Regions from separate parts of the Mus musculus genome. Here all the other regions are reported to be linked to region 1. The links are microRNA targets in miRTarBase. Many come from high-throughput screens and were not tested one by one. Region 1 holds a microRNA gene; each other region holds the end of a gene's coding sequence.

Region 1 (10,919 bases):
CTGTTGAAGAACCGCACCACGTCCTTCACGTTCTGGCTGCTTTTGGTCCTTACAGTAATCATGTAGCCATCCCCAAACCTGGTGGGACACAGGTGTGGCCGGGAGCCCCGCGTGGTGTGGTCTGACAGCCCTCCCACCTCCTGCACCCCTGCTCGGCTCACCTGTTCTTAAGGTGCTGGATGCTGCCCAGGCAGCGCAGCCGCCCGTTCACCATGATGGCCAAGCGTGTGCACAGAGCCTCACACTCCTCCATGCTGTGGACAGACAGCTCAGGCTGGTACCAGAGGGGCTGCCAGAGGCCCACGGAGGGGTGGGGGAGGGGCACACCTGTGTGACGTCAGCACCACCGAACGTCCCGTCTTGATGAGGTCCAGAATGAGGTTCCACAGGAAGCGCCGGGCCTTAGGGTCCATGCCAGTGGTGGGCTCATCCTAGGGCAGGGGTCAGTTCAGCCAGAGACACAGCCCACCCAACCTGGTTTTGCCGTCCTTGGCTGACCAGGAATCCTACCCCTAAGACTTACTAGAAAGATGAAGGCAGGGTACCCAATGAGGGCAATGGCTGTGGAAAGCTTCCGTTTGTTGCCTCCACTGTAGGTGCCAGCTGGCTTGTCTGCATACTTTGTCAGTTCCAGCTTCTCTAGGGCCCACTTCACTACCTGGCAGGGCCAAGCGAGGAGGTGTGGGCTTCACCTTACAGAACTCCCACCAGCACATGCACACTGGGGCACCCCCAGCTACTTCCCCGTTGTCCTCACCTGTGCCTCATCCTTCCAGGGGATGCCACGCAGCCGCGTGTACAGCTGCAGGTGTTCACGAGCCGTGAGCTCATCAAACAGGGCATCAAACTGCGGGCAGTAGCCAAGGCTCTGCTGTACCTGGAGCAGGTCCTTGAGCACGCTGGGGACAGAGGGTGATCAATACCCAGGACGGTATGCTCACCCCACACCTGCCCTCCTGGACCCTGAGGTCATGGTCAGCACACTCCTAAATCCACACACACACACCTTTGCACCTGAGGGGTGGGGTCTCCCACCCACTCACACCCTAACCCCAGCAGCCGTGCACCTGGAAGCAGTTACACACAGGCACACGCACATCCAATGCTTCCCTGTGTGTATCCAGGGTACAGGAACCCCACCTGTGTCCATTGACAAAGGCCTCTCCCCCAGTTGTGCTCTCATCTCCAGTCAGCATCTTGAAGGTGCTGGTCTTCCCTGCACCATTGACACCAAGGAGCCCAAAGCACTCTCCAGGGCGCACACCCAGGCAAAGGCGGTCCACTGCCAGGATCCGGCCAATCTTCCGAGACTTGTACACCTGACCAAAGAGCCTTCCCTCTCAGCAAAGGGGGGGGGGTTCCTGTCTGGCTTGACTTCATCCCACTGCTGGGACCCACTCCCCGCCCCACTCCCCACCTACTTTCCCACAGCTCAGAGCCCACCTTGGTCAGGTTCTCAATCTTGACCATGTCATTGTCAGCATCGCCACGGAGCACTCTCTGTCGCTCACTAGCCACATCCACATCGTCTTCCACAGGTTTAGTAGACACAGGCAGGCGTCTAGGGCAGCAAAGTTGTCAGGGCTTGGCCAAGCCACACACACACACACACACACACACACCCCACCAAGGGTCCGCAGCATCACCCAACACACTCCACTCACTGTGGCTGCCGTAGGAAGTTATACTGGCACATGATGGTGAGGAAGAATCCCACGAAGCCCTCGACTGTCATGGCCACCAGTCCACGTGTGACAATGTCCCACTCGAACGGGGACTTCATCTTGTCAAACTGGCCTGTGGAACCGCTGGTTCAGGGTTCTGAGAGCCTTAAGGGTCCCCGTTGTTCTTGGAACTTAAGAGTCAAGGACTAGGCACGCCACTCTGTGGCCCCCTGAAGGCCCGTACTGTCCACCCAGAGCCAGACTCACCAATCTTGGCGTAGTATTCGTTGATGTACTCATTGTAGGCCATCTCCATGAGCCCGTGGCCCAGGTTGTAGTTGGGGAAGATGAGGAAGCAGCTTTTCAGGTAACTGTTGACAACCTTCAGATCCTGGGGACAGCCATAGCTCAGCATTGCTGCCCCAAGCCACGCCCTGCTGCCCACTCACCCCCACCTTCAGATCCTGGGGGGCAGCCATAGCTCAGCATTGCTGCCCCAAGCCACGCCTTGCTGCCCATTCACCCCCACCTTTACCTTGTCATGCTCAAAAAGCTGCAGAAGGAAAGTGGCCACCGTGGCTGTGATGCCGATGAAGAGGTTGATGACGATGAGGAACACGTAGGCTGAGCTAGGGACCTCAAACCAGAAGGAGGCTGGGTACATGATGGGTGTGATGGACCACCTGTGGACAAACAGTGGTGGTCACAGGGCACCCCCAGCCACACCCACAACCATACATGCTCCACACCCCTCCCCAGCTCACCCATAGAGCAGGAACAAGGAGAGCACCGCGGGGAAGTTGGTGGGTGATGTGTAGGCAGGTAAGTCAAAGACAAAGAGGATGATCACGCAGCAGGTGGCTGGGACCAGGTAATTGAGCTGCAAAGGTGAAGGTGGAGGATGAGACCCGGGCGTAGGGATGGGAGTCAGGGACAGGGAGGGACCATGCGGGGGCACACCATGTCCCACACGTAGTTGGCCAGCCAGTAGATGACAGGGTTGCACCCGCTGACGAACTGCAGGTGTTTGGCCTTGGTGGATTTCTCTGCCACAAGGAAGACCACAAAGCTGGCTGGCACGAAGGACATGGCCACAATGATGAAGATGGCGATGACCACATCTGTGCCCTGCAGTCTAGAAGGGGACAGCACTCAGTTCCAGGAGGTGTCAGGACGAGGTGGTCCTGCCCCTCCTCAACTTGGTCTGCCTCACTCACAGGTAATCCAGGGAGAGGCTAGCACTGGTCTTGTTCATGGGGTGGTTGGTGACGGTGATGCCTGCACACGGGAAAAGGGTAGCTTTAGGTCCATGCAACCATTCGGCTCAGCTGCATCCCTGCCTGTCCTTCAACCCTGATTCTCCTTACCATAGGCTGCTGGATTGCCCTTGCTTTTGGGTAGGTTTGCACGCAGAATGGCATTGTTGAGGCTGTTGAGGTAGGTGGGCATGCTGTGGTAGCCCTTGTTATTGTAGAGCACCTGGGGAGGGGCAAGGACCTCAGAGAGGCTCAGAAACCAAAAGTTATTAGGCTTAGGACCAGGTGCCCAAAACCCAAGGGCAGCCGCCTACCTGAGCCACCCTCCGCACTGCAATCTTCCGCACCATAGGAGGGACCCGGGCACCAAAGGATGCTGGGATAGACTTCTGAACATTACCAAAGGTGATGGCTCCATATCTGTACAAGACAGGTGGGAGGGTCACTGAGGCTCGGCAGCCATCTGCCAGGCACCCCTTGTTCACAGCCACTTCAGGCCAACTTACCGGTGTAGTCGGAAACGGTCAGAGGTGAAGAGCAGGTACTCAGAAACATTGTGGCCAGTGATGTCAGTCAGGATGTCACCTGTGACCACTCTCATCTGGGGTGGGTGTCCACCCACACTGCTGGGGCATGAGAACCCCGTGCCCTGTGCAGAGCAGGTACAGCGGACTGGCTCATGCACTAGGCGTGGCAGAGAAGGCGCCGACGTCCACGTCTCTGTGGGCACAGTGCAGCACAATGAGATGGGTCACTCATGCCTGTGCCCCCCGGAGCCTTCCCTGAGGTAGTACCTGGCCCAGCAGTAGGTGGCAGGGACATGTTCCAGGCTTGCAGTGAATCCTCATCTGGGGACACGGGTGAGTCAGAAGGGGCGGGTGAGGGCGGAGGTGGCACGAAGTTGGACAGTGGCAGCCCCTGTGTGAAGGACTCCAGGCACATACTGTCGAAGAACCGTGCCGCCAGCAGGCGGGACTCTCCACTGCTTAAGTTCAGCATGGGTCCCAGGGAGCCGTTGGCAGGAGACTTGAGCACACAAGTGGCACCCACACCAGAGGGCAGCCGGAATGTGCTCACCAGCTGCTGGGGGCTGGCATCAGGTGACAGCCGTAATCTGAGGACATGACAGTGAGTTAGGAGCCATAAGTCTCAACTCTTGCCCTGCCCTGTGCTACAGCCCCAGCCCACGGCCTCACCGGTACTCCTGGCGTTCCTCATTGGCATAAGGGATAAAGTTGCCACGGGGCTGGGTGTAGTTGTGGTACTGAGAGGGTGACAGGACCAGTGGAGGTAGGTCACCTGATGGGTGAATACGGAGACCTGAGCAGACTGCAGTTATCTGATGCCAGCCCCAGCCCTAACACAGAGAGGGCTGAGCTTGTGGGGATGACTCCTAAGGAGACAGATCCTCTCATGAGCCCCTGAGTAAGGTTCAGAGTGTGAGGAGAGGAGCTCAGGACTGTTCTACAGGGGGCTGGGAGAAAAATGAAGCCAAGACCCAGGGGCAAGACAGTAGCCTCGCCCCAGACCACATGGGCCAGGCACCCTTACCAATCTCAGGGACAGACAACGCCACAGTCATGGCCACACAGACAAAGAAGGCAGGCAGCAGAATCTGAGAGCAGAGAGCTTTGGAGTTCCGACGAGCACAGTGGAAGCGCTTCACCAGGAGCCCATGGAACTGCCGCATCTTCAGCCACCAGCCCTCGAGTTTGCGGCTGCCCTGGCCCACCTGAGCCAGGGCCTCCATCTCTGCCTCTGTGCAGAGAGGCAGAGGTAAATAGCCAGTCCCACGCCACCCTTCTGGACCCTCCCCAGTTTCCCCATTGGCTTCCACCTTGTAAGCTGACATTGTCTGGGTCCTGCAAGTTGTCAAAGAGGGGACGGTAGTCACCGTAGCCATCAGAGTAGCCGGTGCCCTCCTCCCCACGGGCAGAGCCCACAGAGGATGCAGACTGCAGCGATGCCTGTGACTGTGCCAGCTCTGAGCACCGAGCCAGGTTGCCAGCTTGACCCCCCACAGCTGTCAGGCCCTCTGCCCCAGGCAGCACATCCTTCCGGGACTCCTTCACATCTGCAAACAACAGAGGCGGTGAGGGAGGGAAGGCTTGGGCCAAGGCTCTCCTCTCCAGGACATCTTAGTACCTCAGTCCCTAGTGTCCTCCCATAACCCCAGGCCCTGCCTTGATCCCAGCCTCTAATTCACATACCTACTCACAGGTAGGCAGAGCTACCATACCATCCACCACGAGCCTATCCTGACCCCACTTCCAGAGACTTACAGAGAAGCAGTGTCCCCAGGGCCTTCTGTGGGTAGCTGGACAGACCGCCAGCCTTGGGTGCTCTTACCAGCCTCGCTGTTCTCCAGTGACTGATCTTCTTCAGACACCTTGAGGAACACCTCCTCCAGAGTTGTGTCCATCAGCCCAAAACTGCTCAGATGGAGCGCATCCAGGCTGTGTTCCAGTTGCTGCAAAGAGATCGGGTAAGGCAGCGCCACGGAACGCAGGCAGCGACGTGTCCTTCTTCTCTCCGGGCCCCTCGTGTCCCTAGCCACCACAGCCAGCCCCACACACCTGAAAGAGGCGCTCGAAGGCCCCCTTCTTGACGGCCTCGCTGGGCAGGATGTAGGAGAGCTCGGTGCTCGTGTCTGAGACCAGCAGGGAGGAAGCCACATGCTTGCGGATGAACTGGGACACTTGCGGCTCCGAGCAGCTGCTCAGCCGAGGACAACCTGAGGGGCTGGAAGCCAGCCCTGGCTCTGGGAAGGAAGGGGGAGCAGAAGGGGATGCGTGAGAGGCTGAGGAAGAAGGGGCCTTAGTGGGCAAGCAAGTCGAGATGAGGCTTAGAGGTGTCCCAAGTCCCCATGAAGTGAGGGTGAGGTTGCACCTCTCCTAGGTAAGGAATCATGGGGTACGGAGGACCAGAGGCTGGTTCAAGTAGTCTCAGCACAGACCTTGGGAGGTGCCAGGTTCTGCAGGCTGCTTGACCAATGTGAGGCGGTACCCATCGCCATAGGCTCCCTTGAGGAAGAGGGGAGAGCCACAGCATTTGAGCTTCCCATGGGAGATGATGGCAATGCGATCCCCCAGCAGGTCAGCCTCATCCATGTGATGGGTAGACAGGAGGATAGTGCGGCCTGGGGTAGGCCAAACACCAAGGTAAGTGAACAGACAGGGCAGGCCGAGACACCACCCCCGCCACGGCCAGCCCGCTAGCCTGCTCACCCGGCTTGTACTTCAGAATGAGGTCCCAGATGGCACGGCGAGCATAGGGGTCCACGCCAGCCGTGGGCTCGTCTAAGATAATGGCTCTAGAGCCACCCACAAAGGCAATGGCTACCGAAAGCTTGCGCTTCATGCCTCCAGACAACGTCTGCACCAGTGAGTGCCGCTTGTTAGAGAGTTCCAGGTCCTCAATCATCCTGTGGGCCCGACAGGAAGGGGATGGGAGGGGGAGACCAAGGCTGGAAGGCTGACTGGGGAGAGCCCTCATCTCCCCATGTCCTCACCCCTCCCCCTGAATTCCACATGAGCATCCACAGCACCTCCCTCTGCTCATGCCCTTGTGGGACGTAAAACCATGCCAGGAAGTTTGGTGGGTAGAACCGGTTGAGACCCGGGAGAGTAGGTGGGCAGTCACCGGAGATTTAGGCAACTCCCTGCTCTCTGCCAGACTCCTGACTTGGAATACCTGCCATGCTTCTCACATAAAAGAAATGTGTCCTGTGGCCACATAGTAGGACCAAAACAGAGCTCTCCACACTAATGAGACATCTAGAGGCCCAGAGGGCTTAGCCAATAAGCTTCCCTTCCCAGACATTTCTCCCTGCAAACGGTATTTAATCTCGGGTCAGACCCTGAGAGAGGGCTTATGCATCCATTTTCCAGCTAATAAAGGATAAGGTTAAACATGGGCTGTTGCTTTCATCAAGACCCACCATGAGGAACCTGGGGAAGGCCTTTGTCTACAGACCCACATCACAACTCTCTCATGAAAGGCCCATCTGTGCTTCCAGCCTGCCTCTGGCAAGCTAAGGGCAATCACGGCTGGGGCAAGTCGGAGCTCTTCCCTCCACCTGCCCCCAACCTTGGAGCTAGATGCTGTCCTCAGCCAGTAGGCTCCTGACTCTACTCTCTGCCCTTCTACAACTCTCAGCAGCCGTCCAAGAGTCTGAGAATCCCATGCCCCCACCCCTCCCACCCCCTGCCCTGCTTCATCACAGCCCAGGGACCTCTGAACCAGCGCAGGCTTCCCCACATCTCAGACTGTGCTTATCCCTGCAGTGTGGGATAAGCGCAGTCAAACTGCCTGTGCCCAGCAGTGGGGCAGATTCAGATCCACATGCCCGCCCGCCTGTCCATCTGCCCACCCGTCCGTCTGCCCTGTCAGTCCCTCACTGCGCTCACTTGTCCGTCTCTTTGCGGATCTCCTCCTGTGCCATGCTTTTGAGGCGTGAGTAGAACCAGAGGTGCTCCTCCACCGTGAGCCGGTCAAAGAGCACGTTGTGCTGTGGGCACATGCCCAGGTTCTTGCGGATCTCATCCATCTCGGTGCGGATGTCGTGCCCATAGATAGTGGCTGAGCCCGACGTGGGTGGGAACAGTCCAGTCAGGATCGACCTGGAGTGGGGTAAGCGGGGTCACAATCCACCACATCCTCCCGTTAGCTAATCCCTCCTCGTTGTCCCTAGACACTCACATGGTCGTGGTCTTGCCGGCCCCGTTGTGGCCTAGGAAAGAGACCACCTGATTCTCATACAGATTGAGGCTCAGTTTGTTTAAGGCCATCTTCTTGTCATTCTTATAGACCTTGGTGAGCTTGTCCACACAGACGACCAAGGGCAGGTGGGTGGGCTCCTCCTCCATGCCGCGGGTCTCCTCTGTACCAGGGCCGAGTCAGCAGGCTGGGGGCAGCACCAAGGCCACCCCAGACCCCCAAACCCAGCACCCATCCCAGTCAACATTCTGACCCTCGCCTCACCGAAGTGCCGGCTCTCCATGGCACAGGCCTGGTCCTCCTCCATAACGCTGAGGCGCGGTGTGTGTGCCCATGGCCAGCTCCACTCCCAGGCTTCTGTCCGCCCACTGCCCAGCCAATAGGACTTCTGTAGCGGGAAGTACCAGGGCCGGGGCAGCCCATACATACCTGGGGGTCCAGGAGGGGAGAGCTGACAGGGGGCCTGGAGGTGACGACTATCCACCACAAGGGCCAAATACCACCCAGAGGAAGGCAGAAGCCCAGTGACCTTGTCCCACACTGGTCCCTCCACAGATAGGCCTGTACCTGGGTGCACAGCCTCAATGTACCAAGTGAGCACGCCGTAGACCACCGTGTCCACCATAAGCATGGTGACAGCAAGGAGCAGATTGAAGTCATCTCCTTCCACTGGGGACTGGCTGAACGTGTGCCACTGGATGCCCACTCCTGCCACTTCATACAGTGCAAAGTACTTGGAACCCAGGCCAAAGGCTGTTGTGGACATCAGGGACTGAAGAAAGATGGGTGTCAGTAGATGGGCTGGAGACGCGCACCCTATCCTGGCCCCGCCCGGCCACAAACCTCACCGCAATGCACTTCTCGAAGGCAGTGATCTTGTCATGGGCTACCTCCTCGCGGATCGCTACATACATGTAGGGAACGTAGCTCAGGAAGTAGATGATACCGCCACAGGCTGAGGCCAACTTAGCCTTAGAGTACAGCACAGACACCAGGAAGCTACAGTGGAAGATCACTTAGCCATTAACCCCAAGACCCTTCACTCCTGGCCTGCAGCCCACTTGGGCTGCCCCTGTGGGGCCCAAAGGAGCCCTAAGAGAGAGTCTGCCTATTTTTAACAGTTTCCCCACTCCCTGCAGTACTCACCAAAACATGATAGTGGCCACAGCGTAGACGGCAAGGAAGAGCCAGATAATGAGCACGTGGCTGTGCATGAGCACCTGGCCGTACTTGAGGATGGCGGTCAGAGCTGTCACGGAGATAGACAGCTGCACAAAGCCCGTGATGAACCAGGCCACCCAGTGCACGGCGTTGTTCAGGCCCATCGTCTTCATCACCTGTGGGGCAGGTAGGTGGGGTAGAGACGAGAGGAAAGGACAGCACTGCCGCTCCTCCCCTCCCACGCCGGCCGCCCCTCCCCTAGGGGGCGCCTGCAGCCACCCAGACCCACCTCCTTGAGCCTGTGCTCTTTCTCTGCCACAATATGCTGGATGGTCATGGCCACAGAGTAGACCCAGGAGATCACCATGCACAATGGCATCATGTGTTCAATGACAAACAGGAAGCTGAGGGGAGACAAGCGTGAGGTAGGGCTCGGCCCGAGACACCCCCCCCCCAACCTCTGAAGGCTGGCACTCACTCGTCACGGGTGTAGCAGGGGTATGGGAACATCTGCACGTAGTTGCCAGGTTCGACCACGTCATGCCCCACAAATGTGTTGATGATGGCGCGCTCCATCATGTCTGTGGGTTGGAGGTGGTGTCAGGGCGAGGCCAGGCCCCCTCGAATCCCATCTGGGCTCAAAACCTCACCCTGGATCCAGACGAAGCCATAGAGGAAGTAGAAGCGACCACCGGTGTTGGGCCCTGGACGCCAATAAGCACGGCGGATCTCATTGGTTTTCTCAGTGAAGCTTGAATTCTGGCGAATCTTGTAATGTACATGTGGAGGGAGGGAGCCGTCCTTCCGTGTCTGGAAGATCACGCCTGGAACAGGAGGCTGATGAAGTGTACGGCCAGAGGGTGTACACAGAAGGCGTGGGACACAGTGAGGTGAGCACTCCAGGAGTGGAAATAGGACTGAAGGACAGGGCATGAGGTGGAGCTAGCATGCCGCCTGTGGGAGCAAACTGAAGCAGGCTTGGGAGAAGGTAGAGATGTGAGAAGACGTGGAACTGGGGACAAGGTCTAGGCCAAGGAACTGGAAGAGAATGGGACACAGTAGGGATAGGGTGGGATTGAGCTGGTGAGAGCGTAGGTCTGTAGGAGACAGAAGACCTTGTGGGAGGAGGGAGAGGAACTCACTGGCAAACACTGTGACATTGTCCTGGTAGGCCTGATTGAGAGTGTAGTTCACGATGCTCTCCTCATCAGGAAATCCCTTGAAGATGTCCACACTCACCTGCAAAGCGGCTAATATTGGAGCTGGCCCTGAAAATGACTCAGGGAGGAAGGGCCATTGGGCTCTCCCAGCCCACCTTGGACATGAACTGGATCCAGCCACAGGCTGCGTTGTCTATTGTGTCAAGCTGTTGCAGGAGGGCTGTGCCATTAGGCAGTGAGAAGTCCTGGCGCAGAGCAGGTGGCAGCTCCTCCAGGGACAGGTTCATTGCTTCAGGGTGTAGCTGAAGATCAGCTACATACTAGGGTAGAGGGTTGAGTTGAGGGTGTGGCTCGGACCGTCGTAAGCAGAATCGCCGACCACAGGTGCCCACCCACCTTGTACCCACAGCACCTGCTGTAACCACTGCAGATGCTGCTGCAGCCTGCCTTGCTCCAAGAAGCTTCGGATCTCTGTGGAGATGTTGAGCCAGACCTGGGCGTAGTGTGTAACGTTGCCCACAAAGGCAAAGGTCTCATTTGCCTGCAGAGAATGGAAGCTTGGGGCAAAGGGCTTGAGAAAAGATCCAAGCCAGTCTCAGAGTCCTCCACTTTCTCACATGCCCAAGGGACCAACCCAACTACTGTCCCTACTCATGCCAAACTTCTACCCAGGTCTCTGTATAATTTCCTGCAGTAGCCATGTGGGCTGTGAGTCCATCCCAGCTGTGAGCCATGCATTTCCCAGCTCCTTCCTCATGCCCCTAGAGCGCCTGATGTCTGGCCATGACATCATCTCCCAAAGAAACTTCCAAGGTCCAGGCCTTGCCATACCCACTTCCAGCCCTGGCTTATACTACTCCAACAAATTCTCTCCCCAGGCTCCAACAGTCCTTGTACCCTGTTCATATGATGCTACTGGTGTGTGGGAGGGGAGGGTGTCTCTGAACATAACCACCCTG
Region 2 (10,919 bases), not on the chromosome of region 1:
CTCTGCACACTATCTATATTCACACACAGACCAGAGGAAACCTTTCCCATCTCTCCAAGTCTCTTCCAGGGAAGGCATTGCTGCTCCTGTGGGGATGACACACTGGGGTCTTTGACATGGCCTTGTCTTTGTCAACAACACATCTACTCAGGAATATATATATATATATATATATGTATATATATATATATATATATATATATATATACACATACACATATATACATACATGTGTGTATATATATGTGTGCATGTATATATGGTATGTGTATATATCTTAATATACTATACATAATATTATTTATTATGTAAAATATATATTATGTATTATATATACCATACATTTTTAAGATTTATTTTATTTATATGAGTGCACTGTAGCTGTCTTCAGACACACCAGAAGAGGGCTTCAGATCCCTTTTATAGATGGTTGGAAGCCACCATGTGGTTGCTGGGAATTGAATTCAGGACCTCTGGAAGAGGAGTCAGTGCTCTTAACTGCTGAGCCATCTCTCCAGTTCTATTTATTATACTTTTATACATGATTAATACATGTAGATATGTTCATATATTAATCATATATATATATATACATATATATATATATATATATATATATATATATATATCTCAACCACACATATGTGGTTAATATGATTGTATTATGATAGAAATCTCTGAGATGTCCTAGAGACCTCTTTCTCTCCCTCAGTAAGCCCAGTGCTTCCAGGTTCCATCAACATCAACATCGTAATCTTGAGAACGGTGCCTGGTCGAGTTCACCTCCAGGAGGGGGAATGGAAGCTCCATATATGCTCAAGGCGAAGCCTGGGACTCTGGGAGTTTAACAGCTGAGCTGGCTTTGCATGGATGAGGCTTGGAGAAGCCAACTCGGTGTCAGGTCAGCAGCAGCCTGTGTATCTTTCCAGCTAACTGCTATTGAGTGCTGGAGGATTAAATTGCCCTGTTAAGTACAGAGTGGGGGTTACTTCCCTTCACATCAATTTCCTGTGTATTATTGGAGAATGTTTCAAAACACCGCAGGAGCCATCCCTGAACTAAGATCAGGAGTGCAGTTGGTTCAGGCTGACTGATCGCCCACTTGTACCATGCGCAGAGCTGAGTCCCCTGCAGAGGTTTTCCACTGAAGTCTCCCAGGCTCCAGGTACCTGAACTGTGGCTTCAAGGCAGCTCCTTGAAGACCCAAAAGCTGCTTCCTTCCTTACATTGCCTTTGACATCCTCCCATTTCTCTTTCCTTTCCTTTCCTTTCCTTTCCTTTCCTTTCCTTTCCTTTCCTTTCCTTTCCTTTCCTTTCCTGTCTCTTCCCTCCTGTCAGACTCTCATTCATCAAGTAACTTGCTAAGATGTTTACCAGTGATAATTTAAGAAATGAAAACAAACTGAGCGTGGTAGCATACACCTTCAGTTCCAGCCTCAGAGGCAGAGAACAGGCAGATCTCTGAGTCAGGACAGCCAGGGCTAATCGGAGAAATCCTGCCTTGGGGAAGAAAGAAAGGGGGGAAAAAAAGAAAGAATTTACTAAGTTCCTACTTATGCTAGACATGATGGTTTGAATATGCTCGGCCCAGAGAGTGGCACTATTAGGAGGTGTGGCCTTGTTGGAGTAGGTATGTACTGTGGGTGTGGGCTTTAAGACCCTCACCCTAGCCAGGCAGTGGTGGCGCACCCCTTTAATCCCAACACTTGGGAGGCAGAGGCAGGCAGATTTCTGAGTTTGAGGCCATCCTGCTCTATAGAGTGAGTTCCAGGACAGCCAGGGCTACACAGAGAAACCCTGTCTGAGGGTAAGGGGGAGACCTTCACCCTAGCTGCCTGGATGCTGCTATGCTCCCACTTTGATGATAATAGACTGAACCTCTGAACCTGTAAGCCAGCCCCAATTAAATGTTGTCCTTATAAGCATTGCCTTGGGGGCTGGAGAGATGGCTCAGCGGTTAGGAGAACTGACTGTTCTTCCAAAGGTCCTGAGTTCAAATCCCAGCAACCACATGGTGGCTCACAACCATCTGTAATGAGATCTGATGCCCTCTTATGGTGTGTCTGAAGACAACTACAGTGTACTTATTTATAATAAAGAAATAAATCTTAAAAAAAAAAAAAAAAGAGTTGCCTTGGTCATGGTGTCTGTTCATAGCAGTAAAACCCTAAGACAATGAGGTAGGTATTTTTCTAGCTAATGTTTTGCTTTTTGAGACAGGGTCTCACTATGTAACCCTGGCTTCCCTAGCTAATTTTAAACAGACATTCACCTGCCTCTAACTCCTGAGTGCTTCGACTAAAGGAGTGTGCCACTATACTCAGCCATTTTCATAGCTGTTTCATTTATTTATTTATTTATGGTTTTTTGAGACAGGGTTTCTCTGTATAGCCCTAGCTGTCCTGGAACTCACTCTGTAGACCAGGCTGGCCTCGAACTCAGAAACCTGCCTGCCTCAGCCTCCCAAGTGCTGGGATTAAAGGCATGCACCACCACTTTCATAGCTTTCATTTCACATTTTTATGTAAAATGCTTATGAACAATCCCATATTTGTACAACAGAGGAGGACTCATAGTCACATGCTGATAGTAACTAGTATGCTGGATCCATACCTAAGGCACACACCCCCACACCCCCGGTCCTGTTCTTGGCCCCTGAATGTTGCATGGGACTTCAAGGGCATTAAACCATGCAATGATAGAGTGTGAGAAGCCATTCCTGGCTGGCCATGGTGCTGCATGATTTTAGTCTCAACACTTGGGAACGGAGGCAGGCAGATCTCTGAGTTTAAGGCTAGCCTGGCCTACAGATGGAGTTCCGGGACTGCCAGAGCTCCATAATAGAGACCCTGTCAACAAAGGGCCAGTTTCTGGCTAGGGAGAGAGCTCAATAACATGGCTGTGCAGCCATTGGGCCTTGAGTTAAGTTCCTCATACCCACGTGTGGTATACACTTGCCATTCCAGCATAGGGAAGGCAAATCCCTGGGACTTGGCCAGCCTAGTCTACTTGGCAAGCCCCAGGCCACACATACAAGGTCCTCTGGTCTCCACATATCCGTGCAAACACACACATGAACATGCACAATGAAGAGCCTGTCTCACTGCATCAGCCCAAGGCTATGAGGAACAGTTGGTAACTTTGAAATGTTTGCTCAGACTTCTCTTGTCAGCCCTGTCACTACTCCCTGTCACCAGAATTTCCAGCATCAAGTCCTGTCTCTCACTTTTGTTTTGCTTTGTTTGTTTGAGACAGGGTTTCTCTGTGTAGCCCTGGCTGTCCTGGAACTCACTCTGTAGACCAGGCTGGCCTGTGACTCAGAGATCCGCCTGCCTCCATTTAAAGGCCTGCACCACCACCTAGAGTCCTATCACTCTGAACAATGAGCAAGACAGGAAAGGACCTGAGCTACTGCGTCCTACAGGTGAAACTGTTTTTTACACAACAAATGAACCATTGTGAGAAACCTGTTTACCTCTTCTGTGTGCATTCCAACAGGTAATCTGAGTTTTTTTCACACATCTTTGTGTGTGTGTGAAGTATAATTTCCATGTAAAATTACTGGAAATAATTAAAGGTAAGAATTAAGCTCAGTTAGGTAAAACTACCTGCCTTGACCTGGAGTTTTATCACTGTTACACAGAGGCATTTTTACACAAGGCCAACATATTTCCTGCGTACTGCACATAAGCACTCGTTTACTTCGCATCTGAACAAACACTATTTAAGCCTTTAATATTTTAAAATTAATTATTTATTTACATTTCAAATGTTGCCCCCCTCCCAGCACCCCCTCTTAGAATTCTTCATCCTATTCCCCCTCCCCTTTGTTCTGAGAGGGTGTTCCTCCATCCCCCAAGCCTTTAAAATTTAATACATTCACATTAAAATTTGAATATGACAATAGGCTTATGGTTATGAGCTGTTTTTCATATCAACAAGATAATTAATTCCATGACATCTTTTTTCAGTGGTACAGAATTTTGCAGATTCTTTGTTTTTTTGTTTTGGTTTTTTTGAGACAGGGTTTCTCTGTATAGCCCTGGCTGTCCTGGAACTCACTCTGTAGACCAGGCTGACCTCGAACTCAGAAATCCGCCTGTCTCTGCCTATGCAGATTCTTTTTAAATATAAGACTACTATATACAATTGTGTAGTGTAGTGGGCTTACATTACAAAGAAGTACCTATAAATAAGCAAAGAATATAGAGTTATGTTTTTCCTATATCCACACGTGACTTAATGCATCTCCTTTATTATTGTTTTGGTTTTCTTTTTACCAAGACAGGGTTTCTCTGTGTAACTGGCTATTCTGTAACTCATTCTGTAGACCAGGCTGACTTTGAACTCAGAGATCCATCTGCCTCTGCCTCCTGAGGGCTGGGGTTAAAGGTGTGCACCACCATTGCCTGGCTGCATTTGCGTTTATTTTTATTATTTTTTGGTAGAGCATTTGCTTTTATTTATTATTGGTATATATATTATTATTTGTGTGCACAAACATTTGGAGGTCAGAGGACAATCCTCAGGAGCCATCTACCCTTCTGTTTTCTTGTTTGTTAATAGTTAGCTCTGAAGGATGCATAGACAGAGTGAGAGAGAGAGCAGCTTGCAGGAGTGAGCTCTCCCTCCACCTTCACATGGGCTCTAGACTTGCCAGCCAGGGCCTTTATCCATTGAGCTATCTTTTTTTTTTTTCCATTTGTTTTCAGATAAGGTCTCTGCTGGCCTGAAGCTTACCAAGTCAGCTGGGCTGGCAGTAAGAACTGAGTCTCCTCCCCAGTGCTGGGACTACAAGCACATGCTAGCACTCCTGCTTCTGTATTTAAGTCCCGAGGATCAAACTGAGGTCCTTACGTTTGCATAGCGAGTACTTTACACTGAGCTGTTTCCCTAACCCCTACACTTACTTTTAGAATTCTATTTGCTCCTGATTGTGAATTTAAAAATAAAGATTACTATTTTAGAGACTCAAAATCTCGATGTCCTAATGTCGCTCATTTTTAATGATTTCCAAGTGGGCACCAAGTGCATTGGGAAAAGATTCAAGAAAAGTACCACAGAGCTGCTGACTATCCAGCCGTCAGATAGCTATAAAAATGCTACTTACATTCTTTTCTATACTGCCTATAATCCAAGCTATTAAACTTTAAAGCCATATGAAAGCATTTATGAAGATACTGAATTGTATTTCTCATTAAAGGGAAAGGAAGGGCGTGGTGACTCCTATCCCTAGACTGACTTATGGAGAAGCAAAGGCAGAAAGCCATATCATTAGTCTCTTTGAAAGTTAGAACTCAGCTCCTAGCAGGGTTTACAAGCAGTTAAGAATGCCTCCGTTTCACAGACTCATGCTCCTCTGAGCATCCCAAAGGCAGTGAGAACATAAGCCTTCTGATTTTCTAAACCAAATTCATTACCAAATGGATTTATTAAAGAGCTATGCAGAACAGCTACGCGTGTGGCTGCAGCTGGCACCCATGGGATGAGAAATGACGACTCAAGGGCTCTTGCAATTGACTCAGGGCAAAACGATCTGAGGCTTATGACAGACAGAAAGATCTAAAATCAATGAGCAATTGTGTTGAGAGGAATTTGTTTACATTTTTTAATTTTTAAAATATTGTTTATTTTCTTATTTATTGAGACAGGGACTCACTCTGTAATTCTGGCTGGCCTGAAGCTTACTATATAACTCAGTAAATCAGACTGGCCCTGAACTCAGGGAGTTCCAACTGCCTACGTCTTGTGGAAGGTTACATTCAAAGACATGAATCACCACATGTGCATTCTTATATTTGCTTGTAAAGGATATTTCCTATATTAACTGTTTTATTTCCCTTTTTCTTAATACTGCTTAAGAATTCCAGCATTTTTATCTAGAAATAAGGAAGAAAAAAATACAGGCTCCTGGCAAATAAATACCTATTGTGTAAATTGCCACAAGAGCTTTTTAGTCAGAGAGAATGTTTCATCTTGAAGCTAGTATACCCTTTCTTCTCTCTCTTCCTCTTTCTTTTCTTTCTTACTGGTTTTAGATTATTTTATGTGTATGTTTTGTCTGCATGTATATCTATACACTACATGTGTGCCTGACGCTTGAGGAGGTCAGAACAGGGTGTCAAATCCCCTGAAATTGAGCCACCAGGTAGGTGCCGGCTCCTCTCCAAGAGCAACAATGCTCTTAACTGCTGAGCTGCCTCTCCAGCCCACCATATCTTCATGTATTTATTTATTGAGTATGTAGCTCTGTATGGGTCAGAGGCAACTTGTGGAGTTGGTTCTCTCCTACCAAGTGAGTTTGGGGATTGAACATAGGTTGTCAGACTTGGTGGCAGGTTTCTTTACCTTCTGAGCCACCTTGCCAGCCCACAAGTTTCTATACATAAAGCTCATTTTTAAGTGCTTATACACTCATAATTCGTGTGTATATTCGCTTCAAAAGGTGGCTTCGTCATTCCTGCCCATTGGTTTGTATCAGGCACTCAGAGGATGAACAGGCTGTCAATGAAGCGAGCTGATGGTGCAGTAAGACCAGGAAGGTGATGACTGCCCTGTAGTCCAAGCTGGACATAAACTTACTCAGTAGCTCAGGCTGGCCTGGAACCTCACAACCTCCTGCCTCAACCTCCTGAGTAGCTGGGATTATAGGCATGTGTCATCACATCTTGCTAGGATCATGTACTTTACAAACTTCTACATTGTACTGAGAAAGGCATACTATGTTTCTTTTGGAGGAGGAAATCCTGCTAAACACTACGGTAAACTCCCAAGAAGCCAAAACTCATCTCCAGAGCTCTTTAGGCAGCACGTGCTTAGGATTTATGAGACAGCAAAATTCCCCAGCTGTAACACAGCGTCTGCCTAGGACCTGGTGAAGACATTCCTCTGATTGTTGTGTTTAATTAAATTAAACAAAAAAAGCACAAAAGGAAGAAGCTGGGGTGTTTCCAGTCATCTTAGGGCAGTGCAATCCTATAAACAATGGTAATTACAGCCCCCACATGCAGCCTCAATACACTCCATGAAACAGATCCTCAACACGGGACTGGAACTTCAGACAAGCGCTTCTCTCATGAATTCTTCAAGGACAGCCACCACACTTTTGGCCTCGGGCATTTCTTCATGTTCCACTTTAACAATCTTCAAAAGGATATCTCCACTGCCACAGTTCTTAAGGAACATGTAACATTTAAACAGAGCGTAATGATTCATCTCTGCCTGTCGGATAAATCTCTTCAAATTGTTTGTGTCTTGTATAGCCTAGAAAAAGATTGCCCTGTAAGTATGTTCAGTGACATGATGATGATGCTTGAAAAATACCCCGTCTCTAGCTGAACACTCATCGGACACTGATAATGTCGGCTTTTGTTTTGTCTCTTGACACAGGGTCTCACTATGTAGCTCTGGCTGGTCTTGAACTCTGTCTCCTGAGTGCTGGGATTAAAGTTATGTACTACCCACCCTGCTAATGTTGAACTTTAAAAAAAATACCCATTATTCCTATTGCTAAAATGCTTGCCTTTAGTGTAAAAGAATCTCACTTTAAAAAGACTTTTAAAAAAAAAAATAGCTCCTGGTACTGGAGAGATGGCTCAGCAGTTAAGAACACTGACTGCTCTTCCAGAGGTCCTGAGTCCAGTCCAATTCCCAGCAACCACATGGGGGCTCATAACCATCTGTAATGGGATCTGATGCCCTCTTCTGGTATGTCTGAAGACAGCTACAGTGTACTCATATACATTAAATAAATAAATAAATAATACAAAAAAAGCTCTTAAGGTACCAGCCCTCACTTGCAAGAATTTGAAATAATTTATTTCTGTGTTTTTCAACTGAGATGTGTCAGTTTGATGCACCCTAAATATAAGCAAGCAATTCACCCCAAAGTGGTGGAAATGAAATCACACGCATGCAGTGCCGCTGGAGAGCAGACACCTCCTGTGTTCTGAGCTCAGAGGATGCCCCATTTAAAGAACACTGTAACTGCACAAGCCCATCATTGATGCTACCACCTGCAGTAATTAAATGCAGAACAAAAACAATGTAACTGACCCATAGCCCACAGCCACCTCATTACCTTTAGTTTAAAGTTTTCCAGGACTTGTCTGAAAAGAAAAGGGTTACCGGCTTCAGCACCGTGTAAGAAAGCTTGCATCCAGTCCTCACAAAAACGGTTGCTTCCTAAACAACAGGAAATACACAAAATTAAATACCTCAGAGCACATATATGTCAGTTTTTAAAGACTTGACTTTTGTTACTCTTCCTTCTGTATATATGCTGTATGTGTACATGAGTACAGGGGCCCTGGGAGAGCAGATGTGTATTGGATATGCCGAACCCAACTCTGGGTTTCTGAAAGAAAGAGCAGCACATGCTATTAACCATCTGTCCAGTCCCAGCACATGAATTTCTTTATAAAAACTTTTTTTTTTTTTTTTTTTTTTTTTGGTATTTCAAGACAGGGTTTCTCTGTATAGCCCTGGCTGTCCTGGAGCTCACTTTGTAGACCAGGCTGTCCTCGAACTCAGAAATCCGCCTGCCTCTGCCTCCCAAGTGCTGGGATCAAAGGTGTGCGCCACCACCAGGCGGTCATAAAAACATTTTTAAATAATTATTTAAAACTCCCAGCACTCGGGACAGCAGCAGATGGATTCTATGAGTTCAAGGCCAGCCTGGTCTACAAAGCAAGTCCAAGAGAGCCAGGGCTACAACAGTTAAGTGCCATAATCACATTCCCTCTCCCCATCAGAAAGGACTGTCATTTCTATCCATACTTCAAGCTTTGGCTACGACCTTGACCTTATGTATGTGTTGTTCTGTACATGTTAGTGCTTTGTGTGGTTTTCTTAGTGGCGGTTTCACTAAACAGTGTGTCTCAGAGCCATCCTAACATGTATGTCTAGCTGACTTTTAGCTGCTCTCCATTCCGTTGTGTATTATTGATTTCCTGTTGGTAAATATTTAGGTTGCTTCCAATCTGTTATATCAAGGAATGCGTTAGAAGCTGGGTGTGCTGGTGCATGCCTTTAAATCCAGCACTTGGGAGGCAGAGGTAGAGGATGGCTGAGTCCCAGAACAGCCAGGGTTATGTAGAGATCCTCTTGCCGCAGTCAAAACAACCAAAAGGACCTTTAGAGCTGTTTGCGTGCATCTTCCTGGTCTCCCCAACTTGGGATGCAGCCTAGTTTATGTAGGAAGTTCCAGGTTTTCCAAACATTGTCTCAAAAAATAAAATAAAAAAGGCTGCCATGTGTAGCCTAACACCTTTAATCCTAGCAATCCAAGGCAGAGTGAGATCCTGTCTCAAAGAGGTCTTGGGTGGGTGAGAGAGAAGACTAGGAAAGAAAAAGTACTTGCCTCACAGAATGAGGACCTGAATTAGAGTCCCCGGACCCTGTAAAGGCTGATACACACAGTGCAAGCAGCATATGGGGAGCTAGAAGGAAGGACGGGAGAAACCCCAGAAGCTCATGAGCAAGCTCGGCCCCAAAACACTGCAGGCAACAACAAAACAGAGGCCCTGACTTAAACTTGGTGGAAAGTGAAGTTGTCCTCTGACCTGCACTTGCACACTGTAGCACTTACACTTGTTAAACTCACAAAAACGTGTGTACACACACACACATACAAAGCCTTTATATGGGGCCAGCAAGGTGACTCGGTGGGCCCAGGTATTTGCCACCAACCCTGAGTTTGATCCTGATGATGGAGAAAACCCTTTCCCACAAGTTATCCTCTGATCTTCAGATGTGTTCATATATATATGGACTAAACAGAAACATTGGAAACATTGGAAATGCCTTTAGGCTTGGGGCAGTGGCTCAGTGTATAAAATTCTTTGCCATGTGAGCATGAGGTCCTGAGGTCAGACCTCCAGCACCCACATAAAGCCAGATGCAGAAGAACGTATCCCTCTGTTCCTATACTGAGATGGAAGGTGTAGACAGGGAAAACATCCCCAAAACCTTGAGCCCAGCTAGACTGTCATACACAGCAGCCAAGGAAAAATTTTCTCGAACAAGGTAGAAATGAGGACTGACACCCAATGTTGCCATCTGACCCCCATGTGTGCTAGAATACATACACATGGATCTGCACTCACACAGACACACACTCAAAAGAACACATGGGCTGGGCGTGGTGGTGCACGTCTTTAATCCCAGCACTCGGGAGGCAGAGGCAGGCGGATTTCTGAGTTCGAGGCCAGCCTGGTCTACAAAGTGAGTGCCAGGACAGCCAGGGCTACACAGAGAAACCCTGTCTCGAAAAACAAAAACAAACAAAAAAAAAAAAAACAAAAAACAGAACAAAAGAACACATGGTGTTCTTTTGAACATGGTGGCTCACAACCATCTGTAATGAGATCTGACTCCCTCTTCTGGTGTGTCTGAAGACAGCTACAGTGTACTTACATATAATAAATAAATGAATCTTAAAAAAAAAAAAACTTTCCTAAAACAATGCCTTTAATGCCAGGTGGTGGTTGAGGTACTCTCAGAAGGCAGAGGCAGGTGAATAACTGAGTTTGAGACCAGCATAGCAAACATAATGAGTCCCAGCGTAGCTAAGGTTACACAGAGAAATTCTGTCTTGAAATACAACAACAAACAAAACAAAACAAAACAAAACAAAATACCCCAAAAAAAAACAAAATAAGAAAATGCCTTTAAGCAAGGCATGGTGATGACTGTCTATATCTTAGCACTTAGAAAGTAGAGGCAGGAGAGTTAGAAGTTCAAGGCCAACATAGCCTATATGAAACCATTTCTCAAAAGTAATAAACCGCTGGGTGTGGTGGCGCATGCCTTTAATCCCAGCACTTGGGAGGCAGAGGCAGGCAGATTTCTGAGTTCAAGGCCAGCCTGGTCTACAGAGTGAGTTCCAGGACAGCCAGGGCTACACAGAGAAACCCTGT
Region 3 (4,000 bases), not on the chromosome of region 1:
AATGTGACTCCTTTGTGGCTTGTCCCAGGCTCCAATCTTGAGACCTGGGCCACAATCCCATTTCCTGGCACACACAGAAGAGTCCTGTTGCTCAAAGAACCTGAGGCCCAAGCTCCTTTCCCATCAAGTTTTCCACACGGTCTGGCCTGGTGGAAGCAGCTCTGTGCCTGCATTTGAGATTCAGGAATTCCCTCTCGTGAATACTGCTTTCCCCTTGCTGCATGAGTCTCAGAGGTCTGGGACACACAAGCATAGGACCTGGGTATCCACTCTTTACAAAAAAGACAAAAAGCAGACAGGTTATCAAGTCTCTGTCCCAGCATCTCACAAGCTACAGTTAGGGATGCGTGCTATCACACATGGCCAGAAGACACACCTTTCTGTTGGGAGCCTTTGGGTGGGGACCTGTCTTGTCTCAGCACTTGCTTGTGTAGACTGAAGTCCCTCTCCTAGAGACTCGAGAATGCTTGTGTTTCTTCAAGTCTCAAGAATGAACTTTGGGGGCTGGAGAGATGGCTCAGTGGTTAAGAGCACTGGCTGGTCTTCCAGAGGTCCTGAGTTCAATTCCCAGAAACCACATGGTGGCTCACAACCATCTGTAATGGGATCTGATGCCCTCTTCTGGTGCGTCTGAAGTCATATATATGTATATGTGTGTGTGTGTGTGTGTGTGTGTATATATATATCTTTTTTAAAAAAAAAATGAACTTTGAGTTCCAACCACAGGCAAGATGATCACTTGCCCTCTGGTGTCATGTCTATAGTGACAGAGCCCCCTGACCCTCTCATACTCTGTTGCCAGCCTTGGCAGCCAAGACACCCAGCATGCCTGGAAGTCAAGAGTGGCCTTCAGGCATTTGCTGCACCTGGGCCAGCTACTGCCACGGTCACAGCTGCACGCTAGCCTCTACACTCTTCTAGGAGGAAGCTATCGGGAAGCCCAGGGTGGCTTTCTGTAGCTGCTCCGGGACACTGCCTAGCCCCGCTGCAGCTGCAGGCTGTTGACACCATAGGAAACTCTGAGCTGGGAGAGGACCAAACTCTGCCAAGGTAAACCCGGGGACTCCGCGGGCTCTCTTTGATTCAGCCTGCTATTTGTGGACCAGAGTACATATTTATTCTTTATTTCCCCCCAGCGAGACACAGTGTGCCTTGGAAGACAGACCAGCGCTTGCTTATTTTTCTGTGTTGTTTTTCATTGCATTACCTGGCGGGGAAGCAACGTTTGAAGATAATACGATAAGGTGGTTGAGCCGTGTTTCCACCTGAGGGAGAGTGGTAATGCCATAAAAGCAATAACTACCACATGAATGGGGATTTCCCACCCCCTTCTTCCAAGCAAGCAAACAGTTAAAAAAAAAAATCCCCAAATGGCTGAGGTGACAGAACATCTGTTGTCACCTGGAACAGAGGTGATGGAGCCCCAGGTAGTCCTGATCCAGTGTACAAAGGAGGCCTCGGAGCCGGCCATTCCTCTTGGCTTTGTGATGCTGAATGCTGTGTGCTGGTCAGAGCAGGTGCACGGGCAGGAGGCAGCTCGCATTCCTCCAGGAAATAAACACGGAGGGACCCCAACCCTCGGGTACTGTCCATCTTCACTCCATTTGGAATCTGAATCCCAGGGGGCTGATGACGAAAGACAACAGAAGCCAAAGGATCACAGAGCACATTGGATGCACTGGGCCAAGAGGTCAGAAGACGACACAATAGGGATAAGGACCAGAGTGTGACGGAGGGTGAGCGGTCTGTAACAGGCCATTGTCAGAGCCCAAGGGAGGGGCAGCTGCAGGGCCATCTGAGGGTGGAGATCCCAGGAAAAGGTAAGAAGCTGGAGACCCAGCCTGAAGGAGCAGGGTGAGGGTGCCAAGAGCGGTGATGTTTGTAGAGGAGGCACCACCGCGTCCCCAGCCACACTGGTGGCTAGTGTGGTGGAGTGAGGCTGTACACCCTGCTAAGGACACTCCTCTCTCTATAGTGCCACTACCAGGTGGGGCATCCGGAGATGCAGTTGAGGCCCTGAGAGTTGAGTCTGCCAGCCGTTTTTCCAGAGAAAAGGCATCCAACAGAGGGGTGTCTGGCAGCAGTGTGGCAGGGCGCATGTCTCGCCTTTCAAGGCGTCTCACTTTATACCGAATCCCTTCCTGGAGGTCAAGAGATACAGAGCCTGTGGCGATGTTCCTCAGGGACACCCACGTCTAAACCTTTGACCCCGTGGATGTGTGACCCAGCCTCGGGGACTCTGCAGGGGATCAAGGCCATGGTTATGGGGAACTGATCCTGGACCGTGTAGGGACACCAGGTAAAAACCATGAGGGGGTCTTTCTGAGGCCGTTGGGCCAGACCACAAGAGATGTGACTGTGGAAGTATGGAATGAGGGGACAGAAAAGTCAGTTTGTGGCCATAGAGCCAGCAGTATGGAGGGCAAGCCTTGACTACGCTGAGTTCCAGGCCAGCCTGGGGCTGTACGGCGGTGAGTCTCTCCAGGGCCTCCAGAAGGAAGCCGCCTTGCTCACACCTTGACTACAGCCTGCCTGGGCTTTCCTAAGAATGGGCTTCAGGCTCTCGAAGCCACCCAGCTCTCCATGGTGTGTTACAGGGGTCTCCAATTTGACACTGAAGAAAGGATGTTGGTCCCACCCTCTGTGTTACTGAGGACACTGGGTGGCCCTAGCAGTGTGCCACAGACAACTTCCACGTGCGGAGCGGAAAAAACAGGAGCTGAGAGCCAGACAAAACAGTCAGTTGGGGAGGCTTGCTTTTGTTTTATTTATTTTTTATTTGTTCGGTTTCTGTTTTTGGATTTTTGTTTTTGTTGTGTTGGGATAGGGTCTCATTACATAGCCCTGGCTGTCCTGGAACTCACTGTGTAAAACAGGCTGACCTTGAACTCACAGAGATCCATCCTTTCTGCCTCCCCAGTACTGGGATTAAAGGCATGAGCCACCACATTCCACAGTTTGCTCAGTCTTGAAGGCCACCTTGTACCTATCTTGGGTCTTCTGCTCAGAGTTGTACTCTATAAACTTAAGTTTCTCTGTCTCTGTCCTTCTCACTGTGTCTATGACTTGGGCATTTTGGGGCACCTGTATGTATAGATGCAAATGTGCATTTTTTGCCTGTGGATGTCACAGGGCAATGTCACATGTCAGTCAGTCCTCAGACACCTCCCACATTTTGCCTGAGACAGGACCTCTCACCAGGTCTGGAATTTTACAACACAGCCCCCAGCCGGCTGGCCTGCAGGCTTCCACCCATCTCTGCTTCCCGTGTTGCCCGTCACTGAGGCTTACGTGCTCACGGCACTGTCGTTAGCTTTTCGTACAGATACTGGGGATCCGAACTCGGGTCCTCGGGGCACAAGGCCAGCACTTTGTGGGCTGAGCTGTTCCTCAGCTCTGCTCGGGTTTCTTTAAAGAATATCTCTTATTTACAACAACAACAACAACAACAAAGCAGGTCTCTCCTCTTCTTTTTTTTTTTTTTTTTTTCGGGACAGGGTTTCTCTGTGTAGTCCTGGCTGTCCTGGAACTCACTCTGTAGACCAGGCTGGCCTCGAACTCAGAAATCTGCCTGCCTCTGCCTCCCATGTGCTGGGATTAAAGGCGTGCGCCACTGCCGCCCCGGCTCGTCGTGCCACGTGGCACCCTGGAAACTCGGGCCCCCTTTCCGGTCTGCTCTGCCTATCCTTACAGACTTCATCCTGAGATTAAGACCTCATCTTGGTCCGATCAAGCCGGAAGGACGAGCGAAGTTTGCGGTCCCTGAGGGGCTGGAGCGGGCGGTAGTTGTTCACCATCACATCCTCTTCCTCACCTCGCCCGGAGAACAAGAGTGTGCGGAACGTGGATAGCTGGAACGGAGAACAGCCGCGGTGAGCTGACACAGGCACAGAGAGATCCACGTGCCGGGTGACCCCTCCCACACTGACCAACAGAACTCAGTATAATGAACCCGTGACTCCGCGAAGTCCAAGGGATCACTAAAGGCACAGTGGCCACC

Evidence for each region. Region 1 holds the annotated microRNA mmu-miR-3087-3p (UAACUCACUGUCAUGUCCUCA, at 4,036-4,056, opposite strand). A microRNA usually pairs through its seed, bases 2 to 8, with sites in the 3' UTR of a target mRNA and lowers its output. Matches are read on the target gene's strand: a 7mer-m8 pairs with bases 2 to 8, a 7mer-A1 pairs with bases 2 to 7 and ends in A, and an 8mer does both.
Region 2: miRTarBase lists 5730455P16Rik as a target of mmu-miR-3087-3p. Seed matches in the 3' UTR shown: 7mer-A1 at 5,693-5,699, 7mer-A1 at 4,316-4,322 and 7mer-m8 at 4,056-4,062.
Region 3: the mRNA of Car5a is a reported target of mmu-miR-3087-3p. Seed matches in the 3' UTR shown: 7mer-m8 at 3,528-3,534.

Annotation. Positions count from the first base shown.
Region 1 is chr2:25,435,950-25,446,868 of GRCm38, reverse strand. It overlaps Mir3087 (microRNA 3087), which reads right to left and starts at 4,090; the gene lies at 4,035-4,090. It overlaps Abca2 (ATP-binding cassette, sub-family A (ABC1), member 2), which reads right to left. Exons shown (of 49, transcript NM_001368624.1): 11 at 10,373-10,501; 12 at 10,116-10,280; 13 at 9,943-10,039; 14 at 9,451-9,624; 15 at 9,279-9,381; 16 at 9,090-9,204; 17 at 8,786-8,976; 18 at 8,488-8,638; 19 at 8,207-8,411; 20 at 7,904-8,068; 21 at 7,622-7,802; 22 at 7,330-7,542; 23 at 6,148-6,344; 24 at 5,877-6,059; 22 more.
Region 2 is chr11:80,356,756-80,367,674 of GRCm38, forward strand. 5730455P16Rik (RIKEN cDNA 5730455P16 gene) reads right to left here. Exons shown (of 10, transcript NM_027472.3): 9 at 8,081-8,184; 10 at 3,737-7,263. The coding sequence ends at 7,057. Among named protein-coding and RNA genes, the nearest start is that of 5730455P16Rik, 16 kb to the right of the region's middle.
Region 3 is chr8:121,912,657-121,916,656 of GRCm38, forward strand. Car5a (carbonic anhydrase 5a, mitochondrial) reads right to left here. Exons shown (of 7, transcript NM_007608.2): 7 at 3,479-3,851. The coding sequence ends at 3,708. It overlaps BC048644 (cDNA sequence BC048644), which reads left to right. Exons shown (of 2, transcript NR_167716.1): 2 at 3,694-4,000. Among named protein-coding and RNA genes, the nearest start is that of BC048644, 6.8 kb to the left of the region's middle.